Linked DNA regions of Cricetulus griseus. The protein of the gene in region 2 interacts with the protein of the main gene of each other region in a pairwise test. Links are inferred from orthologs where the notes say so. Each region holds a gene or a part of one and is shown on either strand. Other genes may lie near its edges.

The links. The genes of interacting proteins can lie anywhere in the genome.
Region 1: the proteins of Sumo1 (region 2) and Atf2 interact in binary tests that used the Homo sapiens proteins (3 or more experiments, as listed by UniProt). The two-hybrid records come from large-scale screens. The link is inferred for Cricetulus griseus from reciprocal best matches to the Homo sapiens genes SUMO1 and ATF2.
Region 3: the proteins of Sumo1 (region 2) and Setx interact in a two-hybrid assay, tested with the Homo sapiens proteins (2 studies listed by BioGRID and IntAct). The link is inferred for Cricetulus griseus from reciprocal best matches to the Homo sapiens genes SUMO1 and SETX.

The regions. Positions count from the first base shown.
Region 1 is NC_048599.1:101,315,390-101,318,798, forward strand, and holds part of Atf2 (cyclic AMP-dependent transcription factor ATF-2), read left to right. Parts: intron 1-1,282; coding exon 1,283-1,489; intron 1,490-3,409. UniProt on the Homo sapiens protein: Transcriptional activator which regulates the transcription of various genes, including those involved in anti-apoptosis, cell growth, and DNA damage response.
Region 2 is NC_048595.1:413,930,950-413,934,703, reverse strand, and holds the start of Sumo1 (small ubiquitin-related modifier 1), read left to right. Parts: upstream 1-1,009; 5' UTR 1,010-1,154; coding exon 1,155-1,166; intron 1,167-3,754. UniProt on the Homo sapiens protein: Ubiquitin-like protein that can be covalently attached to proteins as a monomer or a lysine-linked polymer.
Region 3 is NC_048599.1:140,816,485-140,820,138, forward strand, and holds part of Setx (probable helicase senataxin), read left to right. Parts: coding exon 1-101; intron 102-1,372; coding exon 1,373-1,472; intron 1,473-3,654. UniProt on the Homo sapiens protein: Probable RNA/DNA helicase involved in diverse aspects of RNA metabolism and genomic integrity.

The DNA of each region.
Region 1 (3,409 bases), on a different chromosome or scaffold from region 2:
CAATAATGAAGATCAAAGCCCTATGGACTTCTCCTTACCTGTAAAATAAGTATTATTATTAAAATAACTATTTATTTTAGTACAACTGGCATATTTAATAAATTTTATTTTAAAATAGAGTTGAAAAATGTTTGTAAACTTATAGTGAGTAGTTTTCAAAGGGTTTAATGGATATAAAATCAGTTTAAAAGTTTATCAGTGCATTTTTTCTTTATTGAAAATAGATTTTTTATATATCTAATATATTGATTATGTTTTCCCCTCCACCTATTACTCCTCCCAATTCCTCACTACCTCCTCTTACATTTGTATGCATACCCTTTCTTTCACTAGAAAACAAACACAGTTTTGAGTCCAGCCTGGTCTACAGACCAAGTTCCAGGACTACACAGAGAAACCCTGTCTTAAGAAAAACAACCAAAAAAAAAAAGGAAGAAAGATAGAAGAAAAAAATGGAAGGAAGAAAACAGGCATCTAAGGAATAATAATAAGATAAATCAAAAACCAACAAATCAGAGTAGGACCGAGAAACACGTGTAGACACAGATACACATTCACATACGCAGGAATCCCATAAAATCCCAAAGCTAGAAGCCATAATATACACAAAGGACTATAATGTAAAAATAAAATGGGATTCCCTGACTTGACATTTGAGACAAAGATCCTCCAAAGATGCCATTGAGTTTGTTTTGTGTTGGCCATCTACTCTGGGCATGCAGTGTACCCCTGGGAGTACTTTGTTTCTCCAGTGAGACTCCATTGAAGAAAACTAATTTTTCATTTGCAAGTGGCTAGCAATTAAGGATAGCTTCTGGGTTAGGGATAGGGGTGTATGTCTACTTCTCTCATCTCTAAGACTCCATCTGGTGCAGACCTGGCAAACCTTGTGCATGCCTGTTGTCTGGCTGTGGGTCTCTATATTTGTGCCCATCTGCTGCAGGAGGAAGCATCTCTGATGATGGCTGAACAAGGCATGGATCTATGAGTATAACAGAATGTTGTCAGTCATTTTTATTGCTATATCCCTTTAGCAAGACAGTAAAAAATACACATACTTTAAGACATTCAGTGTATATTGCATTGAACATTTTGCTATCACATAGTTTAATTATTTAAAAGGAATTCATCCACCGGATGATTTCCATGTTGTTCCAGAGTACTGATGTCATCAAGTCTTACAACATGAAGTTAGCAGCACTCTCCCTTTTATACTGTGTCTTGCCTGTGTTAATTTACTCACTACACAATAATGTCACAAGCTTCTCTTCATGTTTTACAGGCTTCTCCGGCTCATACAACTCCACAGACCCAAAATACAAGTGGCCGTCGAAGGAGAGCAGCTAATGAAGATCCTGATGAGAAAAGGAGAAAGTTTCTAGAACGAAACAGAGCAGCAGCTTCAAGATGCCGACAAAAAAGGAAAGTCTGGGTTCAGTCGTTAGAGAAGAAAGCAGAAGACTTGAGTTCACTAAATGGCCAGCTCCAGGTATGACGCATAAATGCACACTTAATTTGTGCTTATTAGTTAGGAGCATAGTTTCCATCCTTCAGACATTTTAGAACATGATGTATACTGCATGTATGTGGACTCTGTAGTAAACCATGGTCTCCTAAACCTTTGTGAATGATGACATGAAGAAATACCACGCTTTCAGTGCTGGCACAGTGAAGAAATTTTATGTCTGTTTATTTGTATGGTACACAAATACCCTATTTACCTTGCTTGAAGTTTAGTTCTCAAAAACTTCAAAAATATCACTGGTTTTTTTGTTGTTGATGTTGTTTTATTTTGGTTTTTGTTTGTTTTGTTTTTGGTTTGTTAACCATAAGTTGTTTCAGTGGCAGTTTTTACATTCTTTCTTTGAATTACAATTTTATTTTGTTTCTTCTTCTTCTTCTTCTTCTTCTTCTTCTTCTTCTTCTTCTTCTTCTTCTTCTTCTTCTTCTTTGTTTTTTTTTTTTTTTTTTTTTTTTTTTTTTTTTTTTTTTTAAGTGAATATAGTGATCATGAAAGGTGCCAGATTGACAGCTTTGGAAACTGAAGGATTCTAATTATCCACAGAACAGGTACAATTTGGCCAGTGGCAGAACATATGATTTCATACTGCACTGCCGATGTGCCTCAGATACATTTCTTAGGACCTCATGTGGTATAAAGATTTTAAGGCTTCTTCCCCATTCAAGTCTTTGGTAAGATTTCCAATAAAAGTATCAGGTAGCACCAAATGTGATTATTTCCATCATTTCTCCTTCCTTTCTTTCCTGTTTTTATTATTTTGCTTTTGATGTTGTGAATATTCTCCAGTAGTCTCTTTTGAACTACCAATTAACTGGAAATTAATGTTAATAAATTTGTAGTTTATTAATACTGGTCAACAGTACTAGAAATTGAAGTCAGGGCCTCAGCACTCTGCCACTAGTTGGTTCCTTCTTTATTATTTAGAAATTTTAGCTTAAGAGAGCTAAATTGCCCAAGCTTGCTTCAAATTGAAGACCTTCCTGCCTCAGCTTTCCAAGTAGCTAGTGTTGTGAGCATGTGATTTAGATCAATCATTTGAATTATCCATTCCCAGTTTTAAGTGAATCTTCCTATATAAACACAACTAATAGTAAGAGAGACGCTTGCTTGTTTCTTAAACCTATCTGCAAAGTGCCACAAATGTAATTATTTAAGTGTTTAGGAAACTGTTTTTACTATCCTGTACAGCATTTACCCAAACTAAGTTTTCTAACAAATTTTCTTATGTGAGACAGACATCCTTAAAAGCCTTCACTGCATTTTGCATATTGATATGGTTATTTTAGAACAAATAGATTGTTATTTACAAAACTTATTTTTAACCATCTAATTTTAATAACTTGAAAAACAGATTAATAGTGACTTACTAAACAACATAAACTCCAAATATATACTAGGATTTAGTATATATTATTGTCATCATGGCAAATGAATTTTACTCAAAAACTTCCACACTTTTTTAGAATAAAATTAATTTTGTTTTAAATAGTATGAAACAGGTTATACATACTTATTTATACATAGATCAAACTTGTTAGAATATTAATTACTGTTATATTTTTAGATACTCATGTTAACTAAGTGATTTAAATTATCTTTTTGTTCCTAATAAAAACATTTTTTTTTTACTTTTCTCTCTCCCCTTTCCTCCCTCTAAAGCCATAATATACCCCTCACTTTCATTCAAATTCATGGCCTCTTTTTTTTCAACTAATTGTTATTGCATATATGTATGTTTCTAAATATAACCTGTTGAGTCTATGTAATGCTACCTATATGTATGTTTTTAAGGGTGAGTCATTGATACTGGACAGACAACTGGTATGTTCTTTCCTTAGGAACACCATCTCTCCCATTCCCAGTTTTCTTTAGTTGCCGGTAGTTCTT
Region 2 (3,754 bases):
TGAGCCACCATGTGGTTGCTGGGAATTGAACTCAGGACTTCTGGAAGAGCAGTCAGTGCTCTTAACCTCTGAGCCATCTCTCCAGTCCGAAAAGATTCTTTTACTAACGTCTTATACTGTGAAAGGTTATTGATTTATTTAGAATTTTCATTTTTGCCGGGGGTTGGGGGGCGTGGTGGCACATGCCTCTAACGCAGCAGAGTCTAGAATAGTCTACAGAGTTCCAGGACAGGCTCCAAAGCTACACAGAGAAACTCTGTATCGGAAAAACACACACAACAATTATTTTTTCAATTTTACTCTTTTTACTTATATATCCGTAATCCACACTTAATGCCTGTGCAAGAAGGTCGTGGTAGTCAAAGAATTTTAGGTCTTTCTGTGACGAAAGGCAAATAGTTAATAGGTTGGAGGTAGCTCCTTCTGCCTATAACTTCAAACTTAAAAACTTTCAACATTTTAGTCATCTACAGCTCTTAAAACTGTCCTAGAGCTGGGGGCAGAGGTAGGAGACTCTATGTGAGTTCGAGGCCAGGCTGATCTACATAGTTCTAGAGCGGCCAGGGTTGCTCAAAAAACAAAAATAAAAACAAAAAATATGTGTTCTAAGGGGTCGTCTTTTCGTTGTGGTCCTAAATCAAGGTCATGAGTGTGCTGGCAGCAAACAAGAGAAGGTAATAAAAATATTATACCGGCGATTCCCTATATTTAGGGACGGTTAGTAAGGTTGGGAGCAGACAAAAGAACTTGGTTTAGCTCGGAGAAGCGCGCAAGGTGTCCGAGAGGGAGGAGTCTAGGATGTCGGTTTGACCCCAAACATTCAGCCTGGTGGCGATGCCCTGGTCTCCCTAGGGGGCTGAGGCAGCCGGCCGGGTCTCCCAGCGGCAGAACACACAGTCGTTCTCTTGCTCCGGGCAAGCAATTTTACAGGTCAGACGCCCCAAGGCCTTTCCCCAAGGCGTTTTCCCGCCTCCTTTTCCCGTCTTCCCAAAGTCTCCTTTGCGCGCAGCGGAAGTGACGCAATACGTAGCGGAAGTCCCTGCAGCCGCGGTGTTGTGCTGTGGGGAAGAGACAGATTTGTAAACCTCAGAGTGAGGTTCTGCCTGCCGGAGGCCGCTGTGGTGCGGAGACCCCCGGGCGAAGCCACCATCACCATGTCTGACCAGGTACTGGGCCAGGGCATCGGGGCTCAGAGCTGTCGGCCGCTGGCTGGGCCCGGGGACCGCGGCGCGGGGGAGGGGACGCAGCTGGGGGAGGGGGCTGCTGCTGGGGAGGGGGCCGCGAGGGACGCGGAGCGCCCGGCCGAGTCGGGCCCAGCCGCCCGGGACCGCGGGGCTCCGGGGAACACCCGCCCTCCGCCGCCTTCCCCGCGCCCCCCTCCCGCTGCCCCGCGCCGCGGCTCTCTCGACGGCTCCCAGGTTTCTCGCGGGTCCGCCGGGGGCCCAGGCCCGCTCCTCTGTCCCCGAGAGCAACCTAAGAGAAATCGACCGTTTCCCTTCAGAGGACCGATGGCAGAAACAGGGCCCCAGGCCTAGTTATGTAACGGGAGGGAATCCCTGACTGGGAGGGTAGGTAGCCCCGAAAAGCTGCTCCACTCCACTTTGGGTTCTTGGTCTCGGAGTGGGGGGCGGAGAGGAAGCCTGGCCTGAGGTTCCTGGGACCCAGAAGACGCTGCTTTCCGTTGTGTTTGCCGGGAGGGCCTGTCCGCCTCTGCTCCCTTCTGCGTCTTTTTTTTTTTTTTTTTTTTCCATCTGGGGGGTGCGGATCGGTCGGCTCTTTTTCTGTACTTTCCATTTCTTACTCGGGATTGGTCCATCAACTCTCTAGTTGTAGGAGAGTTCAGAATAACCGAGAAACAAACGAAACTAGGTTAGAGTACCACCACCAACAAGCCATTTATTTCATCTGGGCATTAGCCTGCTTATGATTGTTACATTTTCAAAAATGGCACTTTTTTTTAACATAGTCAATTTTATACACGTAAACGACGTATCTTGGTTATATGCACCTCCATATCACCCTCTTCCAGGTGATATTTTTGAGGAAAATAGAAAAACTGAATATTTACAGCTGCAGAATGTTTACAGAAAGCTGCCAATTAATAGTAAAATGCTGTGTCTCCGTATTAATGTTAAGAATTTGCATGGTATTGGCATTCAAATTAGGAATACTGCCACCTTAATTTCCTTCATCCCATTTTTGTTTACCACGTTTGTGGCTAGTTTTAATACATAGGATTTTTATCTGTTTTTCCTTTTGTTTGCTTAGAGGACTGAATTTTCAAATTTTTTTTGACGTTTGTCTATAATGATAATTATTCAGTAAACTTTTCATTCAGCACCACAGTGTAGTTGAACTGTTTTCTTTTAATTTAATCTTATTTATTTATTTATTTATTTATTTAATTGTTTTTCGATACAGGATTCTCTGTGTAGCCTTGGCTAACCTGGAACTGCTCTGTAGACCAGGCTGGCCTCAAACTCAGAGATTCCCAGCCTTTGCTTCCTGAGTGCTGGGATCAAAGGCATGCTTCCCCACCACCTGGATAATATGGTTCTATTTTTGTAGCCTATCCATAATGTAGATTAATTGTGGGGTAGATTTGTTTATAAATAATCTGGATTAATTCTGTTTAATCTGGATAGAAATTCGTTTATGAATATCTCTCCAGATAGTTCCGAGTAAGGGAGGAAAGATGAGCTGTAAATGCTTAGTTTCATCAGTCTTTTATTTTAGAAGGAACTAGAAGGCATGTCAGCCTGATGAAGGGCAACATACAGTTAGAAATTTTAAAATTATTTTTGCTCTAGTTTGAACTCACATCATTTAAGAATATGGAGAAAGGCTCTAAAGCTACACAGAGAAACCCTGTCTTGAAAAACTATTAAAAAAAAAAAAAGATTATGGAGAAAGGAAAAGAGAACCTAGGACACAGGCTGTTTTCAGGGGATCTGTGAAGCCACACTAGGGTGTAGTACTTGTTACTGGGCACTGAACTTAGGGCTCACATGTGTACATGCCAGACAAGCACTATACCACTGAGCTAGATCCGAATCTCTTATACTTAGTCTCACTATGTTGCCTAGGTTGTTCTTGAACTTCATTCTGTAGCACAAGGTGTCTTTGAACTCGGAATAAATACTCCTCCCTCACTTATCGTTGCAGAGTAGGGAGGATTAGAGTTATGCCATACCTGGCTAGTCCATGTGTGATTTGTTTATTTTTTTTTTTGTCCCGTGTTGTTCCCCCCCCCCCCCCCCAGGGTTTCTCTGTATTGCTTTGGAGGTTGTTCTGGAACTCTGCTCTGTAGACCAGGCTGGCCTCTGCCTCCCAAGTGCTGGGATTTTCTTTTGTTTTTGAGATAGGGTCTTACTATGTAACCTTGGCTGCCCTGGAACTCATTCTGTAGTTCAGGCTGGCCTGGAACTCACAGAGGTCTGCTTGCTTCTGTCCTCTGAGTGCTGGAGTGAAAGATGTGCATCACAATACCTGACAAACTTTTGTTTTGTTTTGTTTTGTTTTCAAGACAAGATTTCTTTGTAGCTTTGGAGCCTGTCCTGGAATTCACTTTGCCTGCTTCTGCCTCCCAAGTGCCACCACCACCTGGCCCAAAACAAGTCTTTTTAATTGAGCTACACAGTAAAGCAATATGCAAGAGTGTGAAATAGTGCTACTTTTAGAAATTTTGACTTGAAGAAAAAGTATGCTAACATTTTAGGGGTTATTTATTTTGTTTTCTAAGACAGAGTTTCTA
Region 3 (3,654 bases), on a different chromosome or scaffold from region 2:
TCTCTCAATCTATCTCAAGACCCGTGCCCGTCAGATTTCAAGATTGTGCAGAGTATTTTAATGTTTTTCTCCCTTTGATTATATTGAATGCTTTTGAAACAGTAAGTATGCTTTATTTCTTTGCCTCTTTTGTAGATAAAGATTAGAGAAATGCTCATGAGCACATAGTCCCGTAAACTTCTGTTTGAATTTGTACTTATTTCTGTGAGAAGGTATTGGAGGGCTTTGTGTTGGTCAGTATTTAGACCAGGGAGTAAGGATACGCACTAGTTTATTCCTTACACAGCATCCTTGGTTGTTGAGTAGAGAACAAATGGTAGGAAGGCTTACAGATCCAGTAGACCAGTTACAGGTTGGTTCCAGCAACTTGGGGAGAGAATGATGTTGGCTTTGTTTGGATAGTAGTTATGGAGATGGAAAGACTATAGATAAATTTTAGAATATATGACTTACTAGTGGAAATTGAAAGGATGACTGATTTGAGCCTTAACCTGGTTAGGTTGTAATGTTTACTCTCCAGGAGTGGGGAAGAGCCTCTTGAGTTTGCCTCTTTCCTCATTTCTGGGCTGGAGCAGCACATGGCAGGAAAGGCCCTGCTACATGTTTCTAGCCAAAAGTGATAGATAGTGTGAGGGTGGGGCTGTCACACTAACCTTGTGCAGAAGCAGTTTGGCACCAGGAGTCATTGATGAATAATTATATTTGAGGAATTGAAGACCAGTTGCAAATTTAGCTACTTGAATAAAAATTTTACTATAAAATAAGACTGTTAGGTCCCGAAGGTGATTCTGTTTTTTTTTTTTTTTTTTTTAAGTGTAAAATAGCCTTTTATACTAGCAGTTTCTTTCGTAAATTTGGGCTTAGGATTGCCAAAGATCTCATACACTTCTGAGTTTGACTTGAGGCTTTGGCAGACAGGTATGTGTGGCATATAGATACTGACAGGAAGAATGCTTGTGCAAATTCCCAGAGATTGAGAAAAATGTAGGACAAATAGTCTCATTGTGGAGTAGGTGCTACCAGCAAGATCTAGCAGCAGCTGATACTTGTACAGTGAAAATTATCAGGGCTGCAGGTGACTGCTGAACATGAAAAGCTATTTCACCCAAGGAATAGTATTTTTAGTCTTTAGAAGTTCAGTTAACAAGTACAACCAAATGTGGCTAATGACTGAATTGAACAGGTCAGTTTTAAACAATTTAATTAAACCACACAAACTGATTTTTAGTCTTTCATTTGGGATTCTGTTCTACTTCCCCTGTAGCTCAGTTTGCTGTGTGTAGTAGCTTTCAACATGTTCTTTATTTCTTAGGTGTTTTTTTTTTGTTTGTTTTTTTTGTTTTTTGTTTTTTTTTTTTTTTGCTTTGTGTAGGTGGCACAGGAATGGTTCAACTCTCCAAATAAAGAGAATTTCTATCATTTGCATTTACGAAAATTTCCAGCGGACTACAAAAAATACTGGGAGTTTATGAGTAAGTTCATATGCAACTTGGAATATATGATATGATCATTGGAAATTTCTACTTATGAAGAGGTAGATGCCAGGGACTGGTAAGGTAACCAAGTGGACAAGCACTTAATGGCCCCCAGCAGTACTACAGACAGGTTAGCAGCAGCTATTGGTCAGATGAAGATAGCCACGCAAATTCATCTCATTTAGCTTTGTTATGATGAGACATTAAGACAGAAAACATCATTTTAGATAAAAAATGCTCAGAAGTTCAGTTTAACAAGCTCTATAATTTTAGTGCATATATACATGATACAGAGAAATAGGAACATGATACAGAGAAAAAAAGTGAACATTGCATATACACATGACTTTTGTTTTTGTTTCTTGAGAACAAGGTCTTGCTATATCACCCTGACTAGCCTGGAACTCGGTAGTCAACCAGGCTGGCCTGAGATTCACAAAGATCTGCTTGCCTCTGCCTCCTGAGTGCTGAGATTTAAGGTACGTGCTACTGCATGCAGCACACTTGACTTTTGTACCATTAAGTCAGCAAAGAGGAACAATAAAAGTAAAATAATAAAGTAAAATATAGTAGAAATAAGTGGCCTTCTTTTGCACCAAATATAGAATATAATTCACTGAGATCCTAGTACATTTATGGTAGAACTGACTTAGTAGTTCTTGAACTCTTGTGTATTGTGAGTAGAGCAAACATAGGAGTCTATTGATATTGTTAGAAAATGGCTCTCATGGGAGGAGGGTTAATAGAGTGTCATAAGGTGATATTTGAGTTGGAAGAACTAACTTATTTTCATATAACTATAGAATTTAAAGGGAGGGATATAAAACTTAGAGTAGTGTCCACATACAATTTTCAGAAACCTTACATGATAACATCTTGCATACATGGTAAGTGATGAAACCAGGGATTAGTATTGCTATAATACTGAGTATGAGACTCAGTTATATCAAAGTGGTTGTCCCACTAATGTCTGTTTTCTGTTCTGGGATCCAGAGTCCAAACAGCAGTAGTTAACGCTATTTTCTGAGCCTCCAGTATTCTAGAATAGTTAGTTCCTTAGCCTGTCTTCACTGTGTGTCTTTGATGCCTAAAGAATATTGCCCTATTAGTTTGTAGAACACCTTCTTTGTTTTTCTCAGATGTTACCTTAGACTTGAGGTTTTGTGCTTTTAGTAAAAATAGAGCAGAAGGATGGCTTTTTTTGTTGATCATTGATTCTGATCCCTTGGTTGATTGATATCTCCTGTGAAGTCACTGTTTTCCACTAATCCACAATCTGGCTAGTGACTCTTTCTTCCCTGATTTTTTGTTTGTTTGTTTGTTTGTTTTGTGGTTCTGGGATTAGAACCCAGGGCCTTTGCTTTCTACCACTAAGCTATACTTCTGACATGTATTTGAAGAAATTTCTGGTTCATGATAGTTTTCACAACCCCAAATATTTCAGTGTTTTGTGTGTGTGTGTGTGTGTGTGTGTATGTATGTATGTATGTATGTATGTATGTATGTATGTGTGTGTGTGTGTGTTGAAACTTGGTCTTCCCATGTAAGCCCTGGCTGGCCTGGGACTAATTATATAGACTAAGTTGGTTTTAAACTCACAGAGATTCACCTAACTCTTCATTCATTTACAAATATCTTTTTTCCCTTGTTTGAAATGCCATCAATGGCTTTTAAGGTCTTCTGTCTTGGCCACATGTAGTAGCACACACCTCTAATTCCTGCACTTAGGAGGCAGAGGCAGGCAGATCTCTGTTTGAGGACAGCCTGGTCTACAAAGCAAGTTCCAGGTCTACAAAGCTAGGGCTACACACAGAAATCCTGTGTGTGTGGGGGGAGGGGGTTCTTCTGTCTTTAAATTAGCTCTGTCTCTGAAGTGTCTGAAAGCAAATGTTTGCAGTGGAACATTTGTGAGTATGCTGTAACTTTTTTTTGACAGTTTCTGATGTTTTCTATTCACTTTTGAGATAATGAGGGTTTTCTTTTATATATAAATTTTTATTTAAATTAGAAACAATTTTATTTTACATATCAATCCCAGTTCCCTCTCCCTCCCATCCTCGCATCGAATCCCCCCATTCCACATCCATTCCTCAGGGAGGGTGAGGCTTTCCATGGGGGAATCATCAAAGTCTGTCCTGTGTATCTACGTTGGGAGAGTATCCGTGAGGTTTTTTTTTTT